Linked DNA regions of Macaca mulatta. The protein of the gene in region 3 purifies or fractionates together with the protein of the main gene of each other region. This does not show direct contact. Links are inferred from orthologs where the notes say so. Each region holds a gene or a part of one and is shown on either strand. Other genes may lie near its edges.

The links.
Region 1: the proteins of CHD3 (region 3) and CDK2AP1 purify together in Homo sapiens (affinity purification with mass spectrometry; 6 studies listed by BioGRID and IntAct, with this or other methods). This does not show direct contact. The link is inferred for Macaca mulatta from reciprocal best matches to the Homo sapiens genes CHD3 and CDK2AP1.
Region 2: the proteins of CHD3 (region 3) and ZNF219 purify together in Homo sapiens (affinity purification with mass spectrometry; 3 studies listed by BioGRID and IntAct, counting the BioPlex papers as one, with this or other methods). This does not show direct contact. The link is inferred for Macaca mulatta from reciprocal best matches to the Homo sapiens genes CHD3 and ZNF219.
Region 4: the proteins of CHD3 (region 3) and MTA3 purify together in Homo sapiens (affinity purification with mass spectrometry; 4 studies listed by BioGRID and IntAct, with this or other methods). This does not show direct contact. The link is inferred for Macaca mulatta from reciprocal best matches to the Homo sapiens genes CHD3 and MTA3.
Region 5: the proteins of CHD3 (region 3) and MTA1 purify together in Homo sapiens (affinity purification with western blotting; 7 studies listed by BioGRID and IntAct, with this or other methods). This does not show direct contact. The link is inferred for Macaca mulatta from reciprocal best matches to the Homo sapiens genes CHD3 and MTA1.
Region 6: the proteins of CHD3 (region 3) and BCL11B purify together in Homo sapiens (affinity purification with mass spectrometry; 3 studies listed by BioGRID and IntAct, with this or other methods). This does not show direct contact. The link is inferred for Macaca mulatta from reciprocal best matches to the Homo sapiens genes CHD3 and BCL11B.
Region 7: the proteins of CHD3 (region 3) and BCL11A purify together in Homo sapiens (affinity purification with mass spectrometry; 3 studies listed by BioGRID). This does not show direct contact. The link is inferred for Macaca mulatta from reciprocal best matches to the Homo sapiens genes CHD3 and BCL11A.

The regions. Positions count from the first base shown.
Region 1 is NC_133416.1:130,672,886-130,677,034, reverse strand, and holds the start of CDK2AP1 (cyclin-dependent kinase 2-associated protein 1), read left to right. Parts: upstream 1-1,349; 5' UTR 1,350-1,416; coding exon 1,417-1,525; intron 1,526-2,306; exon of another isoform or gene 2,307-2,460; intron 2,461-3,350; coding exon 3,351-3,445; intron 3,446-4,149. UniProt on the Homo sapiens protein: Inhibitor of cyclin-dependent kinase CDK2. Also acts as a component of the histone deacetylase NuRD complex which participates in the remodeling of chromatin.
Region 2 is NC_133412.1:93,940,087-93,943,245, reverse strand, and holds the end of ZNF219 (zinc finger protein 219), read left to right. Parts: coding exon 1-824; intron 825-1,171; coding exon 1,172-1,303; intron 1,304-1,577; coding exon 1,578-2,182; 3' UTR 2,183-2,659; downstream 2,660-3,159. UniProt on the Homo sapiens protein: Transcriptional regulator. Recognizes and binds 2 copies of the core DNA sequence motif 5'-GGGGG-3'. Binds to the HMGN1 promoter and may repress HMGN1 expression. Regulates SNCA expression in primary cortical neurons.
Region 3 is NC_133421.1:9,405,999-9,409,498, forward strand, and holds part of CHD3 (chromodomain-helicase-DNA-binding protein 3), read left to right. Parts: intron 1-310; coding exon 311-502; intron 503-641; coding exon 642-842; intron 843-1,192; coding exon 1,193-1,330; intron 1,331-1,588; coding exon 1,589-1,710; intron 1,711-1,856; coding exon 1,857-2,030; intron 2,031-2,150; coding exon 2,151-2,292; intron 2,293-2,540; coding exon 2,541-2,672; intron 2,673-3,500.
Region 4 is NC_133418.1:82,262,228-82,266,220, reverse strand, and holds the start of MTA3 (metastasis-associated protein MTA3), read left to right. Parts: upstream 1-1,193; 5' UTR 1,194-1,203; coding exon 1,204-1,231; intron 1,232-1,555; exon of another isoform or gene 1,556-1,895; intron 1,896-2,904; coding exon 2,905-2,972; intron 2,973-3,993. UniProt on the Homo sapiens protein: Acts as a component of the histone deacetylase NuRD complex which participates in the remodeling of chromatin.
Region 5 is NC_133412.1:178,892,956-178,896,455, reverse strand, and holds part of MTA1 (metastasis-associated protein MTA1), read right to left. Parts: coding exon 3,436-3,500; intron 3,130-3,435; coding exon 2,941-3,129; intron 801-2,940; coding exon 726-800; intron 249-725; coding exon 190-248; intron 1-189. UniProt on the Homo sapiens protein: Transcriptional coregulator which can act as both a transcriptional corepressor and coactivator. Acts as a component of the histone deacetylase NuRD complex which participates in the remodeling of chromatin.
Region 6 is NC_133412.1:172,590,763-172,594,877, reverse strand, and holds the start of BCL11B (B-cell lymphoma/leukemia 11B), read left to right. Parts: upstream 1-1,315; 5' UTR 1,316-2,307; coding exon 2,308-2,365; intron 2,366-4,115. UniProt on the Homo sapiens protein: Key regulator of both differentiation and survival of T-lymphocytes during thymocyte development in mammals.
Region 7 is NC_133418.1:64,324,545-64,328,044, reverse strand, and holds part of BCL11A (BCL11 transcription factor A), read right to left. Parts: intron 2,081-3,500; coding exon 1,979-2,080; intron 1-1,978. UniProt on the Homo sapiens protein: Transcription factor. Associated with the BAF SWI/SNF chromatin remodeling complex. Binds to the 5'-TGACCA-3' sequence motif in regulatory regions of target genes, including a distal promoter of the HBG1 hemoglobin subunit gamma-1 gene.

The DNA.
Region 1 (4,149 bases), on a different chromosome or scaffold from region 3:
GGCGCAACATTGAGGGATTGGTAGGTGCCGGGCTTTGTGACCTCACTGGGGCCCCTCTTCTCTGACACTTGGTCGGAAACAGACTTCCCAAAAGGCGGTTGTGTTGCGGGGCGTGGGGGGTAAGGACTCGGAGGGAAAGGAGTGGCCCCGTTGGTCACCGGTGCCACGCTGGCTCTCCTGCTCGAGTTTTGGGCCTTGTTTGCAAACGTTGACTTCATAAACCTCCCACATCCGAAGTAGGACCCATAAAAACGATATTTAAAAAAACCTTGGACACTGAGGTGTAGGGGCAGGAAAGGGTTAATCGTCAGGGTGCTGAGGGAGAGTTGAATTGCTCACTTGTGGGCTCGGAGTCCCAAAGAGCAAACAGCCACTGTTTTCTTCTCAAACATTCTCACCTCCTCTGGGGTCCGCAGACCTTACAAAGACGGGCTTTGTTGCCAGGTAGGACTGCCAGCAGCGTTCTTCCTCTGGCCTGTGGGGAGGGCAGGGGCTGGTGTTGCCAGCCTGGGCAAGGCTGACAGCTCAGGCTTGACCTGGTGTCATTGGGGCCGGGGCCTTAAACTGGGACCTTCAGGGTTTGGGGTCACAGGGATAGCGGCACTCACGGGGACCCCTGAAGTCCTGTTCTGAGCTGGCTGCACCTGTATTCAGCTTTTCTTCTCTTTCTTCTGTGGAGAATTTCAGGAGTGCCGAGATCCCCAGATCTGGGCTTTTTGGTGCCCCTCCCTCTCCCCCATGGACCCTTTTGCAGAACCCCAGCTCCCCTCCTGCCATTTGCATCCAAGATGGACTCTCCGCTGCTGCCGCTGCTCCTCCGGCTTCCTTGTCATCATCCCTCACGCCCTGCAGCCCTGCCTCCTGCTCACGGGTTGCCAAGCCGCGGCCTGGCCGGTGGTGGCAGTGGCGGAGTTAGACAAAGCCCCCGCCTCCCCCGCCCCAGAGCCCCCCAGGCGCCCCAAGTGGCGGGAAGGCCGCCAGCTCCCCAGGCCCCGGCGCTCTTTGTCTGGCGTGGGGGCGGGGAGCCGCGCCTGGCCCCAGGAGCTTCCTGGCCTCTGCCAACCCCTCGCTCCTGCACACTGCGCTCATTGTCTGAGATGCGCCGAGACGGCCTGCGCTGACGTGGTCCCTGTGTCCCGGTCCCTGTGTCTGCAGGAAGGAGTGACCATGAGTGGAACTCGGGGCATTTCCGCCATCTCTCTCCAGGACTAGACACCCCCCACTCAACCCTGAACAAGGGACTGGCCTGGACAGAGCATTGGAGTCACCGAGCTATTGCTCCTTGTCCCCCCAGCCAAAATGGGACAATTTCTCATTCCTCCTTCCTCTCAGCCCCGCAAAACCTAACCCCAGTATCATCAAATAGTAGGGTCTGGAGCCTGTAGACCTTCTCTTGGGAAGCACTGCCTCTAACAAATGGAGAAACTGAGGACTGGAGGGCGGGGGGCCTGTCTGAGGTCACACAGCCAGGAGTGGCACAGCTGGGGCTGGCGCCAAGTCCAGTGGGGAGGACAGAAAAGGAGAGGTGAGGAGCAGTGGGCAAAGCAGTTGGGGAAGAGGACGGGGGCACACCGAGTTGATTCGAGGGTGCGTGGGAAGTGGCTAGCGCCCCTCCTGCCAGGCTGCTGGGATCTTGCAAACACCCAGGGTGCTGTGCTCTATGGTCCCTCCCAGAGACTGGCCCTCGAGGCCAGAGAGGTGTAGCTACCAGGATCGAAACCCAGGTCTCTGCCAGCAGAGCCTGTGTTCCCCATGCCACGCTTGCTGCCACATCAGAAGCTCAGGAAACTGGGGTTTGGCTGATGTGGTGAGGGGGCGCTGGGGGACATCGCCCTGCCCAATTCCTGCAGTGGCCGTGGACGTGCCGGATATCGCGGGCGTAGTGCTTCCCCATCCCAAGCCGCCCATCCCTGTAGCACACGTGTCTCGTCATCCCCATGTGGGAGGCATGGAAACTGAGGCTCGGAGTGGCATGGTGCTTTGCCCAGTTCAGGATCCAAGTCCACGTTTCCAGGTCCAGCCCAAGCTGGAGCATAACCCTGGGCTGCAGTGGTGGCATCCAGGGCTGGCCTGAGACTCAGGGAGACAACTCGGGACTGTCCCCGCTCCCGGATGCTCCTGGACAGAGGGGCAGGTGCTGAGGTAGCTGGCTCCCTGCATGGAGGGGCAGGTGCTATGCTGTGTGCCCTGGGGCAACTCCCTCAGGTCCATGTCTCTAAATAGAGGGGCCTGGAGCCAGGGTTCTCCAGGGCTCCTCCCGGCTCCCCCAGCCTGAGGCCCTGAACTTCCTTCCTCCTCTGCCCCTCCCCTCACCCACACCAAGTGAGCAGCTGGTGGGTTTGGCCAGCCTGGCACCAGCTGTCCATCCCCGAGGCCAAGTCTGCAGCGCCCGCTGTGTGTGTGAGAGAGAGACCGTGTGGCTCTGGGGGCGGCAGGCGGGCAGCTGCCGAGGAGGACTAGGTAAATTCTCCATGGTTACCGCTGTTTGTCATTCTGCAGGATATCCTTTACCCGCTAATGGCCACTGGGACGCCATTGCGGGGCCGCGTGCTCCCAGCCTCAGACTCCCCTCCCAGATCCAGGAGGCTGCGTTCTGGGCTGGGCCCTGCTTGGTCACTGACTGCAGCCCTGGACAGGCCCCAATGTTGCATCCCATATGTGGGGCCTCAACCCTCCTCTCTTGGAATGCAGAGCCGTTGGGACATAGACTGCCAAGAGTCTGGTCCCCCTTTGGGGAGGGGGAGACAGGCACAGAGAGGTTGAGGGGCTTTATCTGGGGCACACAGAGGCCGTGGTGTTCTCTAGATTCCTAATTTGATGTCCAGCATGCCTGTCTCCAGCCAGGGTTGGGTCTCAAATACTCTAAGGCCTTCCCATCTTCCCCGTCATTGAGCACAGCAGAGATTTCGGTGCATAGGACAAAAAGGCTTGGAAGCTCCGCTGGTTTGGACCAGCCTCCATGGCAGTGGGCTCTTGTGGTATGATGTGGCCTCTAGGTTTTCATCCTCTGGGGCCAGGACACAGGGAGAGGGGATGGGCAGGGATGAGGCCAGGAGTGGCAGTAATTTTATCTTTGGGAGCAGCCCTGCTGCTTGGAAGGTTCTGGTTGGACAGGACGGAGCTCTGTGAGGACCAGCAGCTGCTACAGAGCTGGGGATGGCCGAGTGCCTTGTAGCTACATTTCATTATCCGTCTTCTACACTGGTCAGACTAGAGGTGGAGAGCAGGGTTCTCTATCCTGCTACAGTTGGTGGTGTGGGTCCTGGGCAAGGGCCATTGCAGGACCTGGAGTCCTTGCCTTGGTACAACTGGCTGAGCTGACTCCTGGCCTCTCTCTCCCCACCCCACAGCTGGGAGTGTCCACTCTCCTTCCACCAGCATGGCGTCTTCACAGTACCGCCAGCTGCTCAGTGACTACGGGCCACCATCCCTAGGCTACACCCAGGTATGGCAATGGGGGTGATGGCATGGTGGGAGGGCTGGGGGGAGACATGCTCCCCACCATCAGAGGAGAGAAGCTGGTGGAAGAGACGAAGGAGCAGAAAGTATGGGACAGAGCTTTCTCAGCCCAAGGCCCTGACTGGGCTCCGGCTCAGAACACATCAGAATGGAGGGCACTGGGGACTGTGTTTCGCAGGGACGTGTGAGGTGGAGCGGACAGGAGAGCACCAGGAAGGGGCAGCAGCCCGAGCTGCGCTGCGGCCCCCACCCCACGCGCTCCTCTGGTGGGTCTCCTCACTTCTCTTTCCTGGGCAAGTGAGGCCTGGCCTTGACCCTGGCTCTCCAAGCTGGGACAGAAAACGGCCGGTTCCCACTTGCTCTCCACGGGCGTGGGCCCAGCAGAGAGGAGGTGGCCTTGTCTCGAGAGCCAAGGTGCCTCTTGTTGAGGGCCAGTGTTTGAGAGTGTGGCCCAGGCGAGGCCGCTGCCTGGTTCCACCACTTTCCAGACTGTGACCCCCACTTGGTAACTGCCCAAGACCTGGGCTCCTCATCAGCCCAAGGGTGATCCTAGTACCCCCAGCCCAGGCTGGGGAACAGCAGGAATGGGGTAGCCACCATGTCAGCTGCACCCCACATCTCCAAGGGATGAGCTGCCCTGTCGAAGGTCCCAGCGGGAAGATGCTCTCCCTGGCTGGGCCCCAGTGCCAG
Region 2 (3,159 bases), on a different chromosome or scaffold from region 3:
CAGCCTGACGGCCCACGGGGCTCCCGAGCGCCCCCTGGCGGCCACCACCGCTGCGCCTCAGCCTCAGCCTCAGCCTCAGCCTCAGCCTCAGCCTCAGCCTCCACCCCAGCCCGAAACTAGATCAGTCCCGGAGCCGGAGCCCGAGCCCGAACGTGAGGCAACCCCGACCCCAGCTCCTGTCGCTCCCGAGGAGCCCCCAGCACCTCCAGAGTTCCGCTGCCAAGTGTGCGGCCAGAGCTTTACACAGTCTTGGTTTCTCAAGGGCCACATGCGTAAGCACAAGGCCTCCTTCGATCATGCGTGTCCGGTGTGCGGCCGCTGCTTCAAGGAGCCCTGGTTCCTTAAGAACCACATGAAGGTGCACGCCAGCAAGCTGGGCCCACTGCGTGCCCCGGGGCCTGGCTCCGGGCCTGCCCGGGCCCCGCAGCCTCCTGACCTCGGCCTGCTGGCCTATGAGCCGTTGGGCCCAGCGCTCCTCTTGGCCCCGGCGCCCACCCCGGCCGAGCGCCGTGAGCCCCCGAGCCTCTTGGGCTACCTGAGCCTGCGGGCTGGCGAGAGCCGGCCCAACGGCGAGGGTGCTGAGCCCGGGCCCGGCCGCAGCTTCGGAGGCTTCCGCCCGCTGTCCTCTGCTCTCCCGGCCCGGGCTCGCCGGCACCGTGCGGAGGAGCCGGAGGAAGAAGAGGAGGTGGTGGAGGCCGAGGAGGAGACCTGGGCCCGGGGCAGGTCGCTGGGCCCTCTGGCTTCCCTGCATCCGCGCCCGGGTGAGGGACCGGGGCACTCTGCCCCTTCTGCTGGGGCCCCGGCAAGATCGACCACCACGCAGGGTATGTAGGGACCCTCCGCTCTCCGGGTACGCCGCGTCCTCCTCTGACTCTTACGCCGCCACTCCCCCATAGCTTCCTTTTTAAAATAACTTATCTTTTATTTCTTCTGAGTTTTTTTTTTTTTTTTTTTTTTTTTTTTTCTGGAGGCTTTGCCATCATTTGAGAACACTTGACTCTTTAGTCACAACAAATCTAACCCCTCAGACTTTTGTTTCCTTCTGGACTCCGAGGGGAAGCAGCCCTATGGGGTGGGTGTGGGGTGGGTATGGGGTGGGTGTGGGGTGGGTGCACGGGACCTGGACAGAGTGTAGGCCCCCGCTGACTTCCTCTTAATATATGTGTTGCAGAAGAGAATGGGCTGTTGGTAGGAGGGACCCGGCCTGAAGGGGGCCGGGGCGCCACCGGCAAGGATTGTCCCTTCTGCGGAAAATCTTTCCGCTCAGCACATCACCTCAAAGTGCATCTGCGAGTGCACACAGGTGAGGGAGGCAGCTTCCGGCGTGGAGAGGGGACTAGGGGGCGGGCAGAAAGGCGAGGGCTACCGAAACACCGGGAGGTGAAGTTTGTTCCGAAGCCTTCAGTTTGGCTGGATGAGATCACTTGGGAAATGAGGCTCCTTTATTAAATCAAAGTGGGTGGGAGACGCAGTGCCCTTTCTTGGTTCTGAGAATGAGGTCTCTAAATTGGGCGAAATTCGGGTGGGTGCGTGCAGTGATCGTGACCCCGTAACCCTTTTGCACCCACTTTCTCCAGGCGAGCGGCCCTACAAGTGTCCGCACTGTGACTACGCGGGCACCCAGTCCGGCTCGCTCAAGTATCACCTACAGCGCCACCACCGGGAGCAGAGGAGCGGGGCTGGCCCCGGGCCACCCCCGGAACCACCGCCTCCTTCCCAGCGGGGTTCAGCCCCGCAATCTGGAGCCAAGCCGTCTCCACAGCCTGCGACCTGGGTGGAGGGTGCCTCAAGCCCCCGGCCTCCTTCTAGCGGTGCTGGGCCGGGGTCCCGTCGGAAGCCCGCCAGCCCTGGGAGGACCCTGCGCAACGGGCGAGGTGGTGAGGCCGAACCCCTGGACCTGTCCTTGCGGGCAGGGCCGGGAGGCGAGGCCGGGCCGGGGGGTGCCCTCCACCGCTGCCTCTTCTGCCCTTTCGCCACTGGAGCCCCAGAGCTCATGGCCTTGCACCTTCAAGTGCACCACAGCCGCCGGGCTAGGGGCCGCCGGCCACCCCAGGCTGACGCGTCCTCGCCCTATGCCCGAGTACCATCAGGAGAGACCCCTCCCAGTCCTTCGCAGGAAGGGGAGGAGGGCTCCGGGCTGTCCAGACCCGGAGAGGCAGGGCTAGGGGGGCAAGAACGGTAGTGAGCCCTCAGGGGCGATTAGCTTAGTGAGCTTACCCCGCCGGAGCGGGGGAGCGCTAGAGGTAGTTGGGTAGAGAAGCCAGCAGGGGGCAGCGTGGGACCCATATCCCAGCCCCAGGCGGACCAGAGGTGGAAGGGGCGGCGGGCGTAGGAGGGTGGGCTGGCGGTACCCACCCAGCCCAAGGGAGTCACAGTGCCTTAGAAGTGGCAGAGGTGAGGGTCAAAGAACGGGGTCCCTGGGCTGGCAGAGAGGGTTTGTGTCCCTGTTGAGGAGCCACTCTGCCAGTCTTTGCTGGTCCATAGGCGTGAGAGTTTATTTTTGTACAAGGGGTGAGGGTGGGGAGCACTGTACCCTTCTAGCCCCATCAGGGGCTCTGTAGACGTCGCTATTTTTGGTACGATTCCTGTCATCCCTGTTGCAGAGTCGTGTCCCCAATAAACAGGTGTCGTGAGGCACAGGGCCCTGTGTCTGTCTGCCTACCTATGTCCTGCTCCTCTCTTTGGGCCCTTCTGTCAGGAAATAGTCACCTCTTCAGACATTTAGTTATCACCCAAAGAGTTTGATAAGAAATGCGGAATATTAGGTTTCACCCCCAGGTTTCAATGCAGCAGCTCTGATGGGGTCCAAGAATCAGCATTTAACAAATAGCCAATCAAGTTCTCACACACTGTGGCCTGAGGGCCTCATTTTGAGAACTGCTGGACTGTGCTGCATCCCAGTTTGTCTGTGACCAGTTCAGCCTCAAGGAGTAGGTGCAGTGTGGGAGAAGGAGCTTCAGAGAGTGGAGCCTCTGGGAGCCACTGTGGAGGAGACACATTCTCCCAGGCTCACACACAGTCAGCTCTGGGCCTGGGAAGGGTACAGGGGACCTTCCAGTCTTGGTTTTATTTTCTGTGTTCTAGTTAAGGGCTGGTTGAGGGAAAGTGCTCAAGTTATTTATCACCTTAATCCAGAGGACTACTCTAGCTCCTTGGAGG
Region 3 (3,500 bases):
AGCAGCTCTTCCTTCAGCGTCCAGCCTTGCCCCAAGAGTGGTTAAGAATTTTGGCCTAAAAGGGCAGGAGCTGCTAGAGATAGCCCACTGGCGGCTCTTTCACCAGCTGGCCCTCCCCCATGGTGCTGCTGGATATTGTCTTACAGAATGAGGGGGAGGGGCTGAAGACTAGATGTGAGAACTTTTGTAAACTCAGGCCATAGTAGAGGGAATTGTAATCCAACTTGGTATCCATGCCAGGGAGGAGGAGACTAAAACTGGAGGAGCTGCTGGTTATTTCCTTGAGCTTTCTGACTTCTTGTCTCCGTAGCCTACCGTGAAATATGAGACTCAGCCACGGTTTATCACAGCCACTGGAGGCACCCTGCACATGTACCAGCTGGAAGGGCTGAACTGGCTGCGCTTCTCCTGGGCCCAGGGCACTGATACCATTCTAGCTGATGAGATGGGGCTGGGCAAGACCATACAAACTATTGTCTTCCTCTACTCACTCTATAAGGAGGTGCTGGACTCTAGGACCTTGAAGGGGACCGCTTGGACTGGGGAATTGGGGAGGGGGAAGATGGAGGGGTGTAGCTGGCAGAGGACTGGGGTATACAGCCTCTAGCCTAGACTTATGCTGCCCCATTCTTGACTCCCAGGGCCACACAAAAGGTCCCTTCCTGGTGAGTGCCCCACTCTCTACCATCATTAACTGGGAGCGGGAGTTCCAGATGTGGGCACCCAAATTCTATGTGGTGACATACACGGGTGACAAGGATAGCCGGGCCATCATTCGTGAGAATGAATTCTCCTTTGAGGACAACGCCATCAAAGGGGGCAAGAAAGCTTTTAAGATGAAGGTAAGCCCCTCTACCTCATATCCTCTAAGACCCTCAAATCTGTCACTTCTTTTTCTCAGCCAGGAATTCAGTTTCTCTATTCCCCTCTCTCCTCACCTTTCTCCTCTTCCTCCACCTGTCCTCGTGTCTCTGCACTACCATCCTAGAGATGTGGCAGGTACTCCCAAGGGCGTACATGGATCTGTCAGTACTGGAAATGTGGGCAGAGGTTTAGGGGCCATGGTCTGTAATCCCTGCTTGGAGAACAGAGTAATGGCTCCTATTGGCAGCCACAGTCAGGAAAAGGTGTCTGGAGGTGTAAGTCCATGGTTGTCAGGTGGCAGCTGAATGGGCAATAATTATGTTGGCAGAGGGAGGCACAGGTGAAGTTCCACGTTCTCCTGACATCATATGAGCTGATCACCATTGATCAGGCAGCACTCGGTTCTATCCGCTGGGCCTGTCTTGTGGTAGATGAGGCCCATCGACTCAAGAACAACCAGTCCAAGGTGAGTGAGGTTCTCAGACCTCAAAAACTTGAAATGGTGGGCTCCTACTTGCCCTGGTCCTAAAAAAACCCAAACAAAGTTCTGGGGATTTTCTGTAGTCTGAGAGGACGGCCAGGTTGGAGGAGGGAGAGGGCCAAAGATTTGGGGCCTCTGATCCTGAGTGAAATGGGAGCTGGGACAGAGAAAGGCTGATGCTGTGGGTCGGTCATTTGCCACTAATAAGCCCATTCTCCTGCCTTGCCTTGCCCCATCTTTTAGTTTTTCAGGGTTCTCAATGGTTACAAGATAGATCATAAGTTGCTGCTGACAGGAACCCCATTGCAGAATAATCTGGAGGAGCTCTTCCATCTCCTGAACTTCCTCACCCCAGAGAGATTTAAGTAAGTGGTTCCCTAAGGGTAGTTGGCAGAGATGAGAGGTGGAGCAGATAAAATGAACCGGTAGAGGATTAATCTGAGGTGGTAAGCCTGAGATCAGCGGCAAATAACTTGCCAACCTGTTAATTTTCTTCTCTCCTGGCTCTTAGCAACTTGGAGGGCTTCCTGGAGGAGTTTGCTGACATATCCAAAGAGGACCAGATCAAGAAACTGCATGATTTGCTGGGGCCACATATGCTACGGAGGCTCAAGGCAGATGTCTTTAAGAACATGCCAGCCAAGACAGAGCTCATCGTTCGGGTGGAGCTAAGCCCCATGCAGAAGTAAGATGCAAGACAAGCTGCCTGGAGTAGGGGTTGGGGATTGATGGGAGCATTCCAAGTGCAATATCATAATTGCTTCTTTTTTTTATGTTTCTTTTACACCCCTTTCCTGGCCTTTAGGAAATACTACAAGTACATCCTGACTCGAAATTTTGAGGCCTTGAATTCACGAGGTGGTGGGAACCAGGTGTCGCTGCTTAATATCATGATGGATCTTAAGAAGTGCTGCAACCATCCATACCTTTTTCCCGTGGCTGCTATGGTAGATACACAGAGCAGGAGCTGATCGAATGTCCGCTCTCAGAAAACATGGGTGGGGAGTAGTGGGGAGGTGGGTATTGAGCCACAAGGGTGGAGTGCGCTGAAAGGCCAGGGACTGGGTCTCTGAGAGCAGTAGGAATTGGGAATGTGTGGAAGCTGGATCTGGGCATCTGGCCTTCTAGGCACGGTAAGAATATGGGGAGATGTTTCCAACTGACCCTGTCCTCCTCCTCTCTCCTCCCTTTTCAGGAGTCCCCCAAACTCCCCAGTGGGGCTTATGAGGGTGGGGCACTTATTAAGTCATCTGGGAAGCTCATGCTGCTCCAGAAGATGCTGCGAAAGCTGAAGGAGCAAGGACACCGAGTACTCATCTTCTCGCAGGTGACCTGTGCCCTTAGCTGTCTACATCTGCTTCCTCTTCCCTCTCCTCGTCCTCCACACTTTAATTTCTTACCGTCTTCCTGTGGCTGCTCCAGTGTGACAAATGAGGAGATTCCTCCTGTAAGAGTTTCTTTTTTTTTTTTTTTTTTTTTGAGACAGAGTTTCTCTCTTGTTCCCTGACTGGAGTGCAGGGCCGTGATCTGGGCTCACTGCAACCTCTGCTTCCTGGGTTCAAGTGATTCTCCTGCCTCAGTCTACCGAGTAGCTGGGATTACAGGTGCCCACCTCCATGCCTGGCTAATTTTTTGTATTTTTAGTAGAGATGAGGTTTCACCATGTTGGTCAGGATGGTCTCGATCTCCTGACCTCAGGTGATCTGCCCACCTCGGTCTCCCAAAGTGCTGGGATTACTGTATAGCAAGTTTATTCTTGGCCTCTGATGCCTGTTCTTAAGGTTATTGGAAGTTGAAGTCCAGCTTTAGTTCCTTTTCAGCTGCATGGGGGAAGGGTGAGGGTGAGCCTCCTTAGAGATTGGTATTATTTCTTCATCTTATTGGCAGGTGAGGGTGAAGGCACAGACCCTCTGGAAATGTGATGAAAACTCTGGGTCCACTCTCCAGACAACTGTACATACAATGACACAAATTTGTATGGATTTTCAGGGGGTTCCTAGATTTCCCTGAAACCTTTTCATGGGTCGCAGAGAACCTCTGCCTTAGGAGAAACAATCTTAAATCAAGAGAGTGTGACAAGAGGGCCAGACATGGTAGCTCACACCTGTTATCCCAGCACTTTGGGAGGCTGAGGCAGGAGGATCACTTGAGGTCA
Region 4 (3,993 bases), on a different chromosome or scaffold from region 3:
ATGCACCAATGTCTGGGAGTACTTTGGAATGGACTGGCTTCTCTAAAGAAAGTTATTTGTGTTCGTTTGGGGGATAGCCAGCTAAGATTCAACGTTGTTGGTTTTTTTTTGTTTTGTTTCTGTGAGAGTAGGAAGGCCGTGAAAACAGAGGTTGTTTAGAGAATTGGCTTGGGACAATAATCATTTAGAAGCTTTAGGCACATAACCAGCTAAGTGTCCATCCATATCAAGCTGATTGAACAGAATCTCCTCTTTTTGGGGGTGGTGATTGTGAACTGTAGGGCCCTGTTCCCCCATGGACAAAGGAAGCCCCCCACTCCTAAAGGTCCCAGCAGAACAGGCCCTGCATATATAGGGCCTGTCTAGAGCCAGGGCCTCCATCTGGGTGTTGGAGAGTTGGTTCTGCTCAGCCCAGTTTTGGGGTGAACGATGATGCAGTTAGGGTAGCCTAGGAAGGGAGTTTTTCAACCTCTGTCCCCAGCCGGGTCTCTGGCGAGGCGGGAAGCACCCAGGGTCTTCCTGGCCCTAGAGCCTGCAGGCTCCAGGCCGGCCCCTTGGATCTCACCACGAGGAAGGCACCCTGCTGCCTGTACTTATTTGCGTCCAAGAGTTTGCATTGAGATTGGCGCTCGCCTACCAGGTCAGCCCCAGGGGGGGTCCCCAGGGACAGAGGTAGGAAAGGAGGACCTGTCTCGGGGTGGACAGGTGACGGGGTACACTGGGTGGGGCAAGAGGTGCTGGGGAGAGGCTGAGCCCCAGCCCCCACTCTAATTCTCTAACTGCCCCTGGTCCGCATTTGAGCGCAGGCCTCTGCCTCGGCCAGGACCCTGGCTCCAGGGCCCTCCACTTCCAGCGAGGCCCCCCACCCTCCCTCCCACTCTCCTTCCCCTCCCCCTCCCCCTCCCCCTCCCCCTCCCCCCCAATTCCCGCTGGTCCCGCAGCGCTCGGGCCTCCCCGGGCCTCCCCCGGCCCGGCCCACTAGGCTTCGCTAGCCTGGCGCTGGGGGCGGGCACCAGCCCCCACCCCTCGGCGTCCCCTCCCCTTCACTTCCCCCTCCCCCTGTCCCCTCCCTTCCCTCCCTTCCCCCCCGTGGCGAGGCAGCAGCGGAGGCGGCGGCGGCAGCGGCGGTCGAGGCTGAGGCTGAGGAGGTGGCGGCGGCGGCGGGCGGGGCTCGGCTCGGGCTCCGCGGGCGGGCGGGCGGACATGGCGGCCAACATGTACCGGGTCGGAGGTAGGCAGGCTCAGCCCGACCCGGCCCGTGTGGGAGCGGGCTCCGGGACCGGGGGGCCGGGGCGAGCGCACGCCAACTGCCGGGAGCCACTGGCGCCGGGGCTGAGGTCGCAGGGGGCGGGGGCGCCGGGGCCCGCAGAGGGGCCAGGACTCCCCACCCCCACCCCACCCCTCCCCTCCCCCCACGGGGGCTCGCGAGGGGCCGGGGCCACCTTCACCCTCGCACCCCGCCAGGTGTTTAGGGCCAGGCCTCTACTTGGGGGTACGAATTACCAGACACCTCCCTCCACGAAACCCTCATGGTGGTGGGGCCCGTCGAGCCCCCTGAGAAGGTGGCCTTCTCGCGTGGCTTCTAGGCGCTGGAGAGGATGAGGGGACATCCCCTCCCCTGCTTCTTCCCCACTCAGTGGGAGCCTGGGGTGGGGGTGGGGGCGGTGGGGGCCCAGCCAGGGGCCCAGCTGGACAGGCCTGTTTGCGGGCCTGCACCTTGCCGGGGCCCTGCACCTCGCCTTCCTCGGCCCCCCTCCTTTCGTTTCTGGTCCAGCCCCCCACGAATGGGGCTTCGTGGGACCTGGGAACCTCAGCCGGAGGTGGGGAGTTGAGCTCTGCCTGGACGTTTGCTCTGCTGCCTGCCTCCTTCCCAGTCTGCGGAAGAGAGAAATAAGGTCAAACAAACTTTCTCCCTACTCACGACGCCCTCCTCCCTCTTTCCTGGTAAAATAATAATTCAGATAAGTGGCGTGTTTGTATGAGAGACTGGCTCTTCCTTCTCCGCTCATTAGCTGAGCTTCTGATGGATGGTGGTGGGAATGGCCTGGCTAAATGAGGCCACTTTGCAGAAGACAGCGGCGAAAGAGCCACTAAGATAGACAATAACAATGCAGCTGCCTTTGAGATAAACACACAGTGGGAAGTTTCCAGCGAGCCTATCAGATGAGAGGAAAAGCCACACTTGAAAAATGTTATCTTTTTAGTTGAAAGCCTGCAGCAATTTCTTAATCACAAGACATTAAATGGATCTGGATTAAATATGGTAAAAGGGTAAAAAAGATGGTGATATCACCCCCAGGGCACTTTGCCTCTTATAATTGATCCCCCTGACCCGCTTTTTCCCTCATCTTCCCAGGTAGAGCTGTGGAAAAGTTTGTTAGTGTTCTTCCTCTTACCTGTTCTGCTCATCTGATTTTTTTTTTTTTTTTTTTTTTTTTTAAGTAGCGATTGAAATGTAGGTTGGACTGTGAAGCCTTTCTCCATGCTCTGAATGTGTCTTAGGTCAATAGTTTTATGTGAGAAGCAGCCTCCAGGGCAAATTGTATTGGAGGAAAAAGATGTGGAAGTAGTTATAGTACAGAGGACACATGTTTAGTGTGCCCCGACTACCCAGTGATAAGAGGTGTCTTTTTTGTTTATTATTAAAGAAATGACATATTGGGACAGAAGTCTAGGAGAAACTGATGAAACATTAATTGAAATGAAAATGCCAAGAAAATAAAGGTCCGTGAATAGTAGGCACATGAGAGAATATATTAAGGCTGCATTATTATGTTTGCTTTTACCAGTGAATGAATTATGAGCTTAATTTCAAACGTGAATTGCCTAACATAAAAAGTCTTGGATTGACAAATCTGAACTTTCTGTTGAAAATATTAAGTTCTGTACTTCCTTTAATTACAGATTATGTCTACTTTGAGAATTCCTCCAGCAACCCATACCTAATAAGAAGGATAGAAGAACTCAACAAGGTATATACACTGAGTGTTCTTAATTTTAATTTAAAAAATATTTATTTTCCCTTAACGGGTAATTAGGTAAAGGGTGGCCTGGTGCGGAGGCTCATGCCTGCAATCCCAGTAAATTGGGAGGCCTGGTGGGTGGTTTGAGACCAGCCTGTGCAACATAGTGAGACCCCATCTCTATTTTTTTTTTTTTTTTTTTTTTTTTTTTTTGAGACGGAGTCTCGCTCTGTCACCCAGGCTGGAGTGCAGTGGCCGGATCTCAGCTCACTGCAAGCTCCGCTTCCCGGGTTCACGCCATTATCCGGCCTCAGCCTCCCGAGTAGCTGGGACTACAGGCGCCCGCCACCTCGCCCGGCTAGTTTTTTGTTTTGTATTTCTTAATAGAGACGGGGTTTCACCGTGTTAGCCAGGATGGTCTCGATCTCCTGACCTCGTGATCCGCCCGTCTCGGCCTCCCAAAGTGCTGGGATTACAGGCTTGAGCCACCGCGCCCGGCCTATTTTTTTTTTTTAATTAATATAAAAAATAAAAATAGGGCTGGGCACGGTGGCTCATGCCTGTAATCTCAGCACTTTGGGAGGCCGAGGTGGTAGGATCACCGGAGGTCAGGAGTTCGAGAACAGCCTGACCAACATGGAGAAACCCCGTCTCTGCTAAAAATACAAAAAAATTAGCCGGGCATGGTGGCACATGCCTATAATCCCAGCCACTTGGGAGGCTGAGGCAGGAGAATCGCTTGAACCCAGGAGGCGGAGGTTGTGGTAAGCCAAGATCGTACCATTGCACTCGAGCCTGGGCAACGAGTGAAATTCCATCTCAAAAAAAAGAAATAATAATAATAAATAAAAATGAATGGGGTAAAGGGCATAAGAGATGGTTTTACTTTCAGTCCCAGACTCTTTGAAAGTTGAGATTTTAGGCCGGGCATGGTGGCTAATGCCTGTAATCCCAGCAATTTGGGAGGCCAAGGCAGGTGGATCACTTGAGGTCAGGAGTTCAAGACCAGCCTGGCCAACATGGTGAAACC
Region 5 (3,500 bases), on a different chromosome or scaffold from region 3:
ACGACGGAGACACGTCCATCGCGTCTGCAGCCAGAACCCCCCAGCCCTGCGCTGCCCTCACAGGGGCTGCCCTAACTTTCCCAGCCTCTGAGCCTGAGTTTCCTCGGGACCCGCCTGGCCCCGGCACCCTGTGCCCACCCTCCCTGGCCCCCAGGGCCACGAGGACCACGGCTGTAAGGGCACACTTACTAGTTGGGAATATAAACTTGCTTTAACTTGCTCTCAGCTTCAGCTGCTTTCAAGCGTTTCTTAAAACAAAAGAGAAGGTCAGAGGTCAGCGGGCTAGGCCCAGGTTGGGGCTGTGGTGCAGACAGGCTGGAGGCCACGGAGAGGAGAGCGCCAATGGGGAGGAGAGCCCCAGTGGAAAGGAGAGCGCCAATGGGGAGGAGAGCCCCAGTGGAAAGGAGAGCGCCAATGGGGAGGAGAGCCCCAGTGGAAAGGAGAGCGCCAATGGGGAGGAGAGCCCCAGTGGAAAGGAGAGCGCCAATGGGGAGGAGAGCCCCAGTGGAAAGGAGAGCGCCAATGGGGAGGAGAGCCCCAGTGGAAAGGAGAGCGCCAATGGGGAGGAGAGCGCCAATGGGAAGGAGAGCGCCAACGGGGAGGAGAGAGCCAGTGGAGAGGAGAGCCGGGCCAGGGACTCAGCAGCACGCCCACCTGCTGGGAGAGGATGGGGCGCAGGACGCGGAGGTGGTGTGCCCCGGGCACTGAGTGGCAGGCGGGCTTACCTGCTGCACGTATCTGTCGGTGGTCTTCCACATGTAGTAGTACTCAATGATGCTGGTCAGAGACTTCCACGGGAGCTGGGTGGGAGGAGGCGTGTCACCCAAGCAGGAAGGGGCAGGAGGTAGGCACATCATGAGGGCAGGGGCAGGGCTGCGGCCAGAAAGCCACAGAGGGGGCAGGAGGTGGGAGGGCAAGGTGTGCTTGGTGCGCTGAGGCCAGGCCCCTGCTGGCAGGCAGGTGCAGAGGGAACTGATGAAGTGGGTACCCCCTGCCAGATGCCAAAACACAGTGACGCCAGGGGAAGAGGAGCTGACACAGGGTCAAGGTGGAGATCTTGCCGAGGTGGCACTGACAACCCAGCCTCCATCTCAGCCTTTTTTTTTTTTTTTTGAGATGGAGTCTCTCTCTGTCACCCAGGCTGGCGTGCAGTAGTGTGATCTTGGCTCACTGCAACCTCTGTCTCCTGGGTTCAAGCGATTCTCTTGCCTCAGCCTCCTGAGTAGCTGGGACTACAGATACGTGCCACCACGCCTGGCTAATTTTTGTATTTTTAGTAGAGATGGGGCTTCACCATGTTGGCCAGGCTGGTCTCGAACTCCTGACCTCAAGTGATCCACCCGCCTCGGCCTCCCAAATGGGATTACAGGCGTGAGTCACCATGACCGGCCATCTCAGCCATTTTTGTTTTTGTCACCCAGGCTGGAGTGCAGTGGCACAATCTCGGCTCATAGCAACCTCCACCTCCCCAGGTTCAAGCGATTCCCCTGCCTCTGTCTCCCAAGTAGCTCGGACTACAGGCGCCGCCACCACACCCAGCCAATTTTTGCATTTTTAGTAGACACAGGGTTTTACAGGTTTTACTGTGTCACATGTTGGCCAGGATGGTCTTGATCTCCTGACCTCATGATCCTCCTGCCTCGACCTCCCAAAGTGGTGGGATTACAGGCGTGAGCCACTGTGCCCGGCCTGTGGCATGGATTTAAGAAACCTTATTAAATAAGGGTTCAGATAGTTCCTCAGTCTGGTCCACTGCATCTGGCAGGAAGGAAGAGCAGGGCCTGCTCCCTCGACACAGCCCCGAAGCTGCAGCCTCCTGACCCCACGCCTGGACTCGGCCCCGCAGCCACAGCCCCGAGCGCTGCCTCGCTAGGCTCACGTGGACTCAGCACTGGGGTCTCCTCTGCTGGAACCATGTGCAGCAGGGTCTCCCTCAAATTCTGCCCTCATCTGAGCCAGTTGGTGAATTTTGTTTCTAGCCCTCATCCTCTTGTCTGAACATGTTCTGCTCATCTTGGTTAGATTTTAAGCCTGGAGAAATCCATATCCGCCTTGGAGAGGCCACTGCCCCAGTCAAGGACTCCTCCCGAGCCTGGCCAAGCTCTCCCCTTGGCCAGAGGCCCCCACACAAAGCTGCATTCCTGCCTCACGGCTGGCTGCTGTCCCTCCTCTTCATGTCTAGGCACCCTACCCAACCCCATGTTTGTTTCTTCCGAATTCCAGATGCCCCCCCAGTCTCTGCTACGCTGGCCTGTGCGCTGCGGCGTGGATGGTGCTTTTCATCAGACAGCAGCAACCTCGCCATGTCCTGGCCCTTTGGGGCTCCTCCCTGCCCTGCCACAGGCTCCACCTCCCCAGGGCTGATGGTCAGGGGTCCCACCACCTCCACGTGGGGATGCCCTTCTAACAGATCAGTTTAAACATATTTTAGGAAGGCTGACGGTGGGAGGATGGGGGTCCTGAGGTAGAGGTACAGGGAAGGGGAGACCCCATACCATGAAGACCCTCTCGGCCTGTTGCTGGGCCAAACTCACATGAGCCAGAAAACAAGGACATGAGGAAACAGAGGTTCAGCTTAGTCAAAAACAAAGCAAAACCAAGGCTGGGGCTGGAGGGGGTGGCAAGGAAGGGAAAGTCTCTGTGAGGACACCCTGGCCTCCGTCACCTGGGCCAACCCTTATCCTTATCACGCAGTGGTGGTAGCAGCGTGGCTCTCTATGCCCAGGCCCCACCAGTGCCCCCGCGCCGTCTGCTGAACCAGTGTGACAGGACTGTGGTGGCCGAGCACAGCTGAGACAGAACTCATGCAGCTCCATACAGGGAATCAGGGCGCAGGACAGGCTCCCTCAGGGCAGGGGGGGACGTGGACCCCACGCCCCCACAGCCCACCTGGAGATGGGCATGGTCAGCCACTCCCACATCGCCACCCACGGTACTCACAAAATCTTGCTGAATGTCCGTGAAATCCTTCCCATATTTTTCCAGGGCTTCCTCGAAAAGGTTGGCCTCTGACGCAGACCACTCCTCCATCTCATCCCTGCAGAGCACGGGCCCGCCCTGTGGCACCAGCGCTGAGATGGCCTTGGAGATGTCATAGATGTTCTTGTGGAGAGTGTCCATGGCATGGAACTGAGGCAGGAGATAGCAGGGTCACCTGGGCCAAGGTGGCTTTCCTGCACCTGTGGCACGGCAACCCTCCCTCAGGGCCTCAAGGATCCCCTGCTGCAGGACCAGGCAGCACAGCCCTCCCTGCACCCTCAGGACAGTCTGGCTGAGCCTGGGATGGATAGGAAAGGCCAGTCCAGGTGGGACAGCACCTCTGCGGGGGTCCTGAATACCTGGAGCAGGTGCTGGGTCCAGGTAGGAGGAAGGGCACAGCCACTCTGGGCCGTGGGTCACTCCAGGTCTCAGCTGTCCCACCCTAGGCCCACTTACCAGGGTGATGTCTCGGGAGGCAGCTGCGGCACTCATGTGCAGGCTGGGCTGTCGGACGGAGCTGC
Region 6 (4,115 bases), on a different chromosome or scaffold from region 3:
CCTCCGGAGAAACCCTGAGAATGGAGAGGAGGCCAGCCGCGTGGCGCGCCCAGCCCTGGAGGCCAGGTCATCAAATTCACAAAGTTGGCCGCAGCCTGGGGAATAGGGGGTGTCCACGGGGGCCGTGGTCCGGCCTTGTCCCCGGGCCACAGACAGGCCCCACAACTCCTCTTGTCCTCGCCGGCTGGAGATCAAACGGCTGACAAGGCAGCTGCGTCCTTCCCAGTCTGACAGGCATTTTCAAGTCCTACCCTGGGCCGAGGAGCGCGGGGGGCGGGGTGTGACTTTCAGGTTGCTGTGATTGTCAGGGGCGCCTCCTGGAGTCACCCACCCGAGTATCTGCGGAGATCTGGCCACACCTACTCCTGGGCCGGCAAGTCCAAGTCCCTCTCCCACGTGGAGCGCCCGGGCCCCTTACCCTCTCGCTTGCCATAGACCCGGTTTAGGGGGTGGGGCCGTGTTTGACCCCTAGGAGTTAATGGGGGTAAGGTGAGGGGAGGGGACAGAGATTTGAGTGAAAATCCTTTTCCAAATGGGACTCAAACAAGGTCTCAAACACTTCTCAGCCCCTCACGTGTTCTTGATTCTGTTCTTTTAGTGTCGTTTATTTTGTCTTCCTCACCCTCCCAGAGTCTGTAATACCAGGATTTATATGGAGACACTTTTTGGAAGTTGAACTCCAACATCCACCACCCCGCCCCCGCCCGCGACCATAAAACAAAAGTAAAAACTTCCAAGCGACTTTTCCACGGAAACGAAGCAATTCTTACTGTCCCCCAACTCCCATGTCGACCCCAACCCTTTTCCACAGTCCACGCCCCCACCCCCAAAGTCCAAGTCCGAAAGAGCTTTTGGGCGGGTGGAGACTTGTATTGATTCAATTTAGTTCACTCACACAGTACCCCGGCCCCCTTCTCAGGGGGTCCTGCTCCCAGGAGGGAGGCGATATAAGGACGATTTTTCTTTTATTTTAAAATACGCTGCCCAGTGTCCCCCCCCCCCAACCCCCTCCTGCTTTTGCGCAGCCGGGGCTGGGGGGAGATGAGGAGCGCACAAAAACGCGGTTTGCACGTGTGTCCGGCTTGGGCTGCGGGTGTGCGCAACCGGCGACTGTGTGTGTGTATGTGAGTGTGTGCGCGCGCGCGAGTGTGTCTCTGTGTGTGCTTTCTTGTTCTCTTACAGGGTACAATGTTAAAAAGCCACCGCTAGTCGCCCCCAGTGCTCCGACTCTCTGGGTCTTTTTGTCTCTAGTGCAGATTAAACGTCACGTCCGCACTTGAACTTGAATTTTATCCCATTGTACAGAGGCAGCCCCAGCCATAGAGAGACCGAGAGCTCCCAGAGAACCCGGACTCCGCCATCTTCACGTTGCAATCTATAGCTCCCAGTCTGCGCCCGCACCGACCCAGGCGCACTGGGCGAGCCGCCCCTCCGCCCCGCTCCCCCCGGGCCCGCGGCGCCAGGGGAGCGCTGGGGAGCGCTCGCGGGGACTCGGCAGCCCCTCCGGCCGGCGCCAGCCTGCCAGGTGAACTGGGAAGGAGCCTCTCTTGGTGTCCCCCCAGAGCCTCGGAAGGGTCAGTCTCCGAGAAAAAAAAAACAAAAAACAAAAACAGGCAGCCCGCAGAAAAACCCAGAAACAACCGAACCGGGGCAGTTTTACATTGCTTTGGGTTTTTTGAGGGGGCGGGGTGAGGGGGTACGAGACAAGTCCCCAAGTTTTCTTTGCTTTTTTTTTCCTTTGCTTTTTCTTCTTCTTTTTTTTTTATTTGTTTGCATTTTTTTTCTTTTCCCCTCCTGGTAGAAGTGCGCTTTCCACCTACCAGACCCTGAAAGAAAGTGTCAGGAGCCGGTGCAAAATCCAGTTTAAGTTCAAGAAGACATTTGCAAGTGCAAGAGGCCAAGCAGTTTGAAGAAGTGTAAGAGATTTTTTTTCCTTCGAAAGAATATATTTTTAAAGAAACCAGCCAGTCCGCGGAAAGCAACAGCAGTTTTTTTTTTTTTTTTTTTGCCTCTTTTTCTTATTTTAGATCGAAAGGTTTTTCTTGCTTTTCTTCCCTTTTTTTTCTTTTTGCAAACAAAACAAAAAACAGCATAGAAGAAAGAGCAAAATAAAGAAGAAGAAGAGGAGGAAGAGAGGGCAAGAGAGGAAGGGAAAAAAAACACCAACCCGGGCAGAGGAGGAGGCGCGGCGGCGGCGGCGGCGGCGGCGGCAGCGGCGCGGCGGCAGCGGCAGCGACTCGGACCCCCTCCCCCGGCTCCCCCCATCAGTGCAGCTCTCCGGGCGATGCCAGAATAGATGCCGGGGCAATGTCCCGCCGCAAACAGGGCAACCCGCAGCACTTGTCCCAGAGGGAGCTCATCACCCGTAAGTGTCTGCGGAGTGCGCGCGAGGGGCCGGAGATGGGGCTCCGGGCGCCTGGGGCTGGGGACACGGAGCCCGGAACAGCCGAGCCGGGCCAGGCGCCGGGGCCGCCCGCTGGCTGGCAGAGTCAACGGCGTCGGCCTGCAGCATGGCGGGGGGCGGGGGCCATAGGAAAGTTTCTTTGCAGCCGGGGGAGTTGGGGCGCCGAGCAGCCGGACGCGCCTCGGGCTCGGGGGCCTGCGAGGGGGCGTGCAGGCTAGAGGAGTGTGTGTGTGCGCGCCGAGCCCGGCTGGACGCTCGCCCCTCCGAGCGGCGTGTGTGGCGGCGGCGGCGCTGGTGGCGGGGTTTGGAGAGGAGGGGGAGGGAGCTGGGGGAGCGGAGGGGGAGGGGGGAGCCGGGAAGTGGGGAAAAGTTGGCGAGCGCGTGGGTCCGTGCTGACGGCGCGGGCGGAGGAGAGCGGGGTGCGCTCGGGCTGGGGGAGCCGTAGGGCCAGGGGCGGCCGCCGGCTCCGGGTTCCCGGTCCCTGCGCCCGGCCCAGCAGGGTGCCGGCCACGCCGGTCCTAGGATTCCGCAGCCGCCTTTCTCTCCCCTCCTCCTGCTATTTGCAAAATAATCCAGCTGCGCGGCTGTTTGCAGGGCTCAAGCCCCCCTCCCCACCCCCCATTTCCCCACCTCCGTCTGTCTCCTGGGATGATCTTGTCTTCTTTCCCCCACTTCAAAAAAGGTGGGGGGATTGGGGTTGGTGAAAAATCCCCGCCACGAGAAGAAAAAAAAAAAAAAAAGGTTGTCAGTTAGGAGTGGGAAGAGAGTGATGCACTCGTAAAATAGTAAAAGAAAAAAAAGAAATAAAAGGAGACCCATCAATCTCGTATCCATCTTTCTATCTCAGTATCTTTCATCTTTCCTCTCTAAATAAACAAGGCAGGTCGCAGTGGAAATCCACCGGCTGAAATCGTGTAGATTTCAAGCATGTGGCTGGGCGGGCAAAGTCAGGCAGCGGGGCAAGACAAGCAGCAGCTTCCACCGTCCCTGTTGGGTTTATTCAGCAGAGGGGAAAAGCGAGCGCGAGCGGGCCAGGTACGGTGTTTGCAGGGGAGCCCGCTCCGGGTCCCCGCACACTTGCACCGGGAAGGTGGCATCGCCGCGCTGCCCGCCCGCCGCAGCCCGCGGGGCCGCTTCTTCGCTGCGCGCGAACATTTCCCCGCCGTTCTTTCTCTCGCGGTGCCTGGGTCGCCGTTCCTTTTTTTTTTTTTTTATTGCATTAAAAATAAAACATCCTCTGGGTGCCATCGAGACCGCGGGCAGGTTGTATGTCTGCAATCCGCCGCGCACCTCGCCCGGCTGGGGCCGGGCTGCCCGCGCGGAGCTAGAGAGGGCTGCGCGCCCAGCCGCCGCAGAGGACTGGCTGCGGGGCGGCCGAGAGCCGAATATTTATGTTATATTTTAAAAAATTTAAATAAATAAATAAATATATAAAGGGGTTCTCCCCTCCCCTGAAAATCCAGCATAGGAGCCATCTGCTCGGAGCAATTGCTGTTGCCATCTCTCCTTTGTTACAGCAGATACATTAGTAAGAATTTGTGGATTTATTATGATTATTTTTTTGGGGGGAATAGAAATTAAAGTGGGATTCGCCTTGGGAGAGGGATGCCTCTTTGGAGGGAGGGAAGAGGACTTCTCTTTTATTTTTCGCCATTGTAACATCAAAGAAGACTCGCCGGCTGCATTTAAAACAAAATGTTTTGCAGCCAGA
Region 7 (3,500 bases), on a different chromosome or scaffold from region 3:
ATTTTCATTACTACCAGGGGTGATTAATTACTGAGGGTAATGACTAACCACATTACACACCCCGCACGGCTTCCAGAGGAAGGTCCCAGTCCAGGCCTTAACCCAGGCCAAAAGGAGGCTGTAGTGAAAGAGCAGGGGTGACTGGCACACAGCAGGGCGGCCAAAGGGAAGTGCTATGAGCTCTAGAAGCCGGGGGCAGCAGGTTAATGCCGCCAAGTGGAATGGGCATCAGATTTGTTCTAGAGCTTTCTGGACCCCCACAACCCATTTCCACATACCTTGTTCTGGTCACTCCTAAACTGGTCCTGCCGGCAGGGGCACCAGTAAACTATGTACCCTCCCTTTGTGGGAAGGTGGGAGAGGACAGGAGTTCCTTATCAAGCTCAGACTTTCCTACCAGTCAAATCAAACTCCCAGCCCTCAGGAAGACCAGGCTGAAGACAGAGAACTATGTTTCCCTGGCCAGCAGCCCTTGGCCTCTCAACTCCACCCTCCTCTCAACTGCTCAACTGCCTTCTTTCCCTTCCCTCCAAAAGTGGCTCCGTTCCCACAGCCCCATGCAGGCCCCAGATGCCCCCAGCAACAGGAGAGCTCTCCCCACCCAGCCAGCATGCAGGGACTAGAAACCGTTGAGTCCAACCCCCTAAACCCTCTGCAATCTGTGACCTAACCCAGGCTTAGGCCCAGCTTGGGGAAGGGGGGCAGATGAGGTGCTTTTAACCCCTGAACCACCCAGCCCTCAGGACCTGAGGGCTTATGAAATTCACACAATAACTCTTTGTTACCTAGGATTACCTAGGAGTTAACAAAAATAAACAACTGGCTTTGACTCTGGTCTCAGGGTGCATGCCCTGCTCTTCAGATACCATTTACAAGGTGGATAAGTGTCATTTCCCTCCCGTCTAAAAACAGTCCCCCTTAGAGCCTTAACTCTGGCATCTTGCTCTTTGTTATTCTCTTTCCATGACCCTTTTCCTTTTCTTTTCTTTTCTTTCCACAGCAGGTTATTTTTCATTTACTTTCAAATAAAAATTAGAGGTCACACTTCTTTTCTTCTTGAACCTACTTTTTTGTGTTTAGGGCGGAATCACTGCCCACCCCCCAACCCTTTAGCCATGCATGATTCATACCATGTCTTCCTACACAGAGAAGCAAACTGTATTACTTTCTAAAACAGTATCTTTCAGAAAACATTTGTATAAATGGACAAATTTAAGTTTCATAAAATGGTCCTTACTATAAAAGCTCGCTTGAACAAGTAAATGGTGGTGGTGGTGATGGTGGTGGTAGTGGTGGTGGTGGCGGTGGTGGTGGTGGTGATGGTGGTGATGGTACTGGTGGTGATGGTGATGGTGGTGGTGGTGGTGGTGGTGGTGATGGTGGTGGTAGTGGTGGTGGTGGTGATAGTAGAACCTTCACATTTTAACTAAAATGATGTGCATTTTCCTCTAAAACTAGGAGAAAAATAAGTCAAAATTATGTGTGATCATGTATATATAAAATATACTATGTACAAATATACATGTAAATACATAAGGAATATGTATTAGAATAACTCTGGAATAACCCTAAACTGACTGCTTTTGATTCTGGCCTTGGCTAAAGATGTGTGCATTGGACTATACCCGAAGTCCTAAATGAGGCCACAGGAGTGAATGTCCAGTAATAAAATGGGCTCCAAAGGCACAGACATATTCAATCACTAGCCATGGAGCCAGACAAGACCCTGGGGAGAAGACCCACAGGGATTAGCTACTTTCAGCTCCCAGCCTCCAGTGAGGAAAGAAAAAGGGGAGGCAAGAAGTCCCTCTGGGGCTGAGTGGAGTGGGGAGCGTCTGCCAAGTGAGTAATGGAATAATACATATGACAATCTATTTTGGAAGTAACTCCGTTCAGTACTTAAAAAGTAAGGGCAATTTCCAGAAACTGTCATCTCTATACACATGGACATTTGTAGAAGAAATAAGGCTCAACTTACAAATACCCTGCGGGGCATATTCTGCACTCATCCCGGGCGTGGGGATTAGAGCTCCATGTGCAGAACGAGGGGAGGAGAGGCCCCTCCAGTGCAGAAGTTTATCTGTGAAAGAAACCCAAAATCAAGCACTACAGCTACAAACAACGTGCATCATAAACCACAGGATATCACATTTCAATTCCATTAAAACAGATTAACATCATTACAACAGCCTTGCAGATAGTTAACAGGCCCAAGGCCTGAAACAAAAGAAGAGTGGAGAGTTATTTCCCACAGTTTCTGTTTTGTTTTCAATTTCGGTCTTTTTGACAAAAGGGAAAGGGTTTGTTTTAGGAATGGGGAGAGGTGGTCTTTGGTTCATTTGCTTGTTTATTTGTTGTTTGATTATTGTTTTGTGGAAAGAGATGGGTAAACAGCAAGGGGAAAACTGGTAATATTGTGGGTAGCCTGGAAACATGGGGGTGGGCGTTATCTGCAAGGCTGGTTTACATGCATACATTAACTTTACTTTATAGACAAACCCAAGCAAAAAACAAAATGCTGATAGGAAATGAGTAGATTTGTGAACCGTTTTTTATGGGACAGAGTCCCATTCTGCTTTCTCTGTCCCTCTGCCCCCCTCTTCCCATGCTATATTTATGATAGAGCCTTCAGTGACAGGGGAACCTTGGGCATTTCTGGACTGACCTGGGCCATATGCTAGAGTCCTGTCAACGGGAAACCCTGTACAGATGTGGCTTCTCACAATACAAAGCAATGGAAGATAAAGATTAGACTTCTGGGGTCCAAATAACTTTGGCCATTACATGACAAGGAAAGAACCAGCATTCCAATAATACCAGCACCCAGAAACCCTGGCCCACCTTCACCATTTTATTGCACTTTGTTGCACTCTGGTGAAGACAAGTGACTTTTCACACTAATAAAATGAATCTGATAGTCAACAAAACATTTCTAGCACTGAGATTTTTTTGAGAAGAGGAAAATTTGGTTTGTGCAGTCTGGGGATTTTATGGTTTATGTGGTAAGTGCCTAGCTTTTCCAAGTCCTCCTCTAGCTAACTAACCATGTAGTTGTCCATCTTGAGACAGACTGGAGGATAGATGGTGCAGGAAACGCTCTGTGTGTTCTAGAGGTTTGGAGTTCGTGATGATTGGGGAGGGCAGGAGAGAAGAAAAACAGACTTTGATGGTGAATAAACAGTATGTTTTCCATTAGCTTAATATTAAGAGCACTTAGAAGTGTTGTTGTTGTACTCTAGGATAGCAGGTCTCAAGTGTAAAATACATCCTGTTCTCCTTATATAGAGCACACTGCCAAGCACAGCCAAGGCAGTTGGGACAAGATTTCCTTTCGTGAGGAGCCTGGTGGGTAACGATGGTGTGCTGCTGAGAAGGCTCTTACACAGACAGCATAGGTCTGCTGTTACCAGGCCTGCAGAGGGAGGCCCTGGTGGAAGCACCACCTAGCCTGAGACTGTCTACAGAGACATTTCATCCTCTCTGACCTAAAACAAAATAAA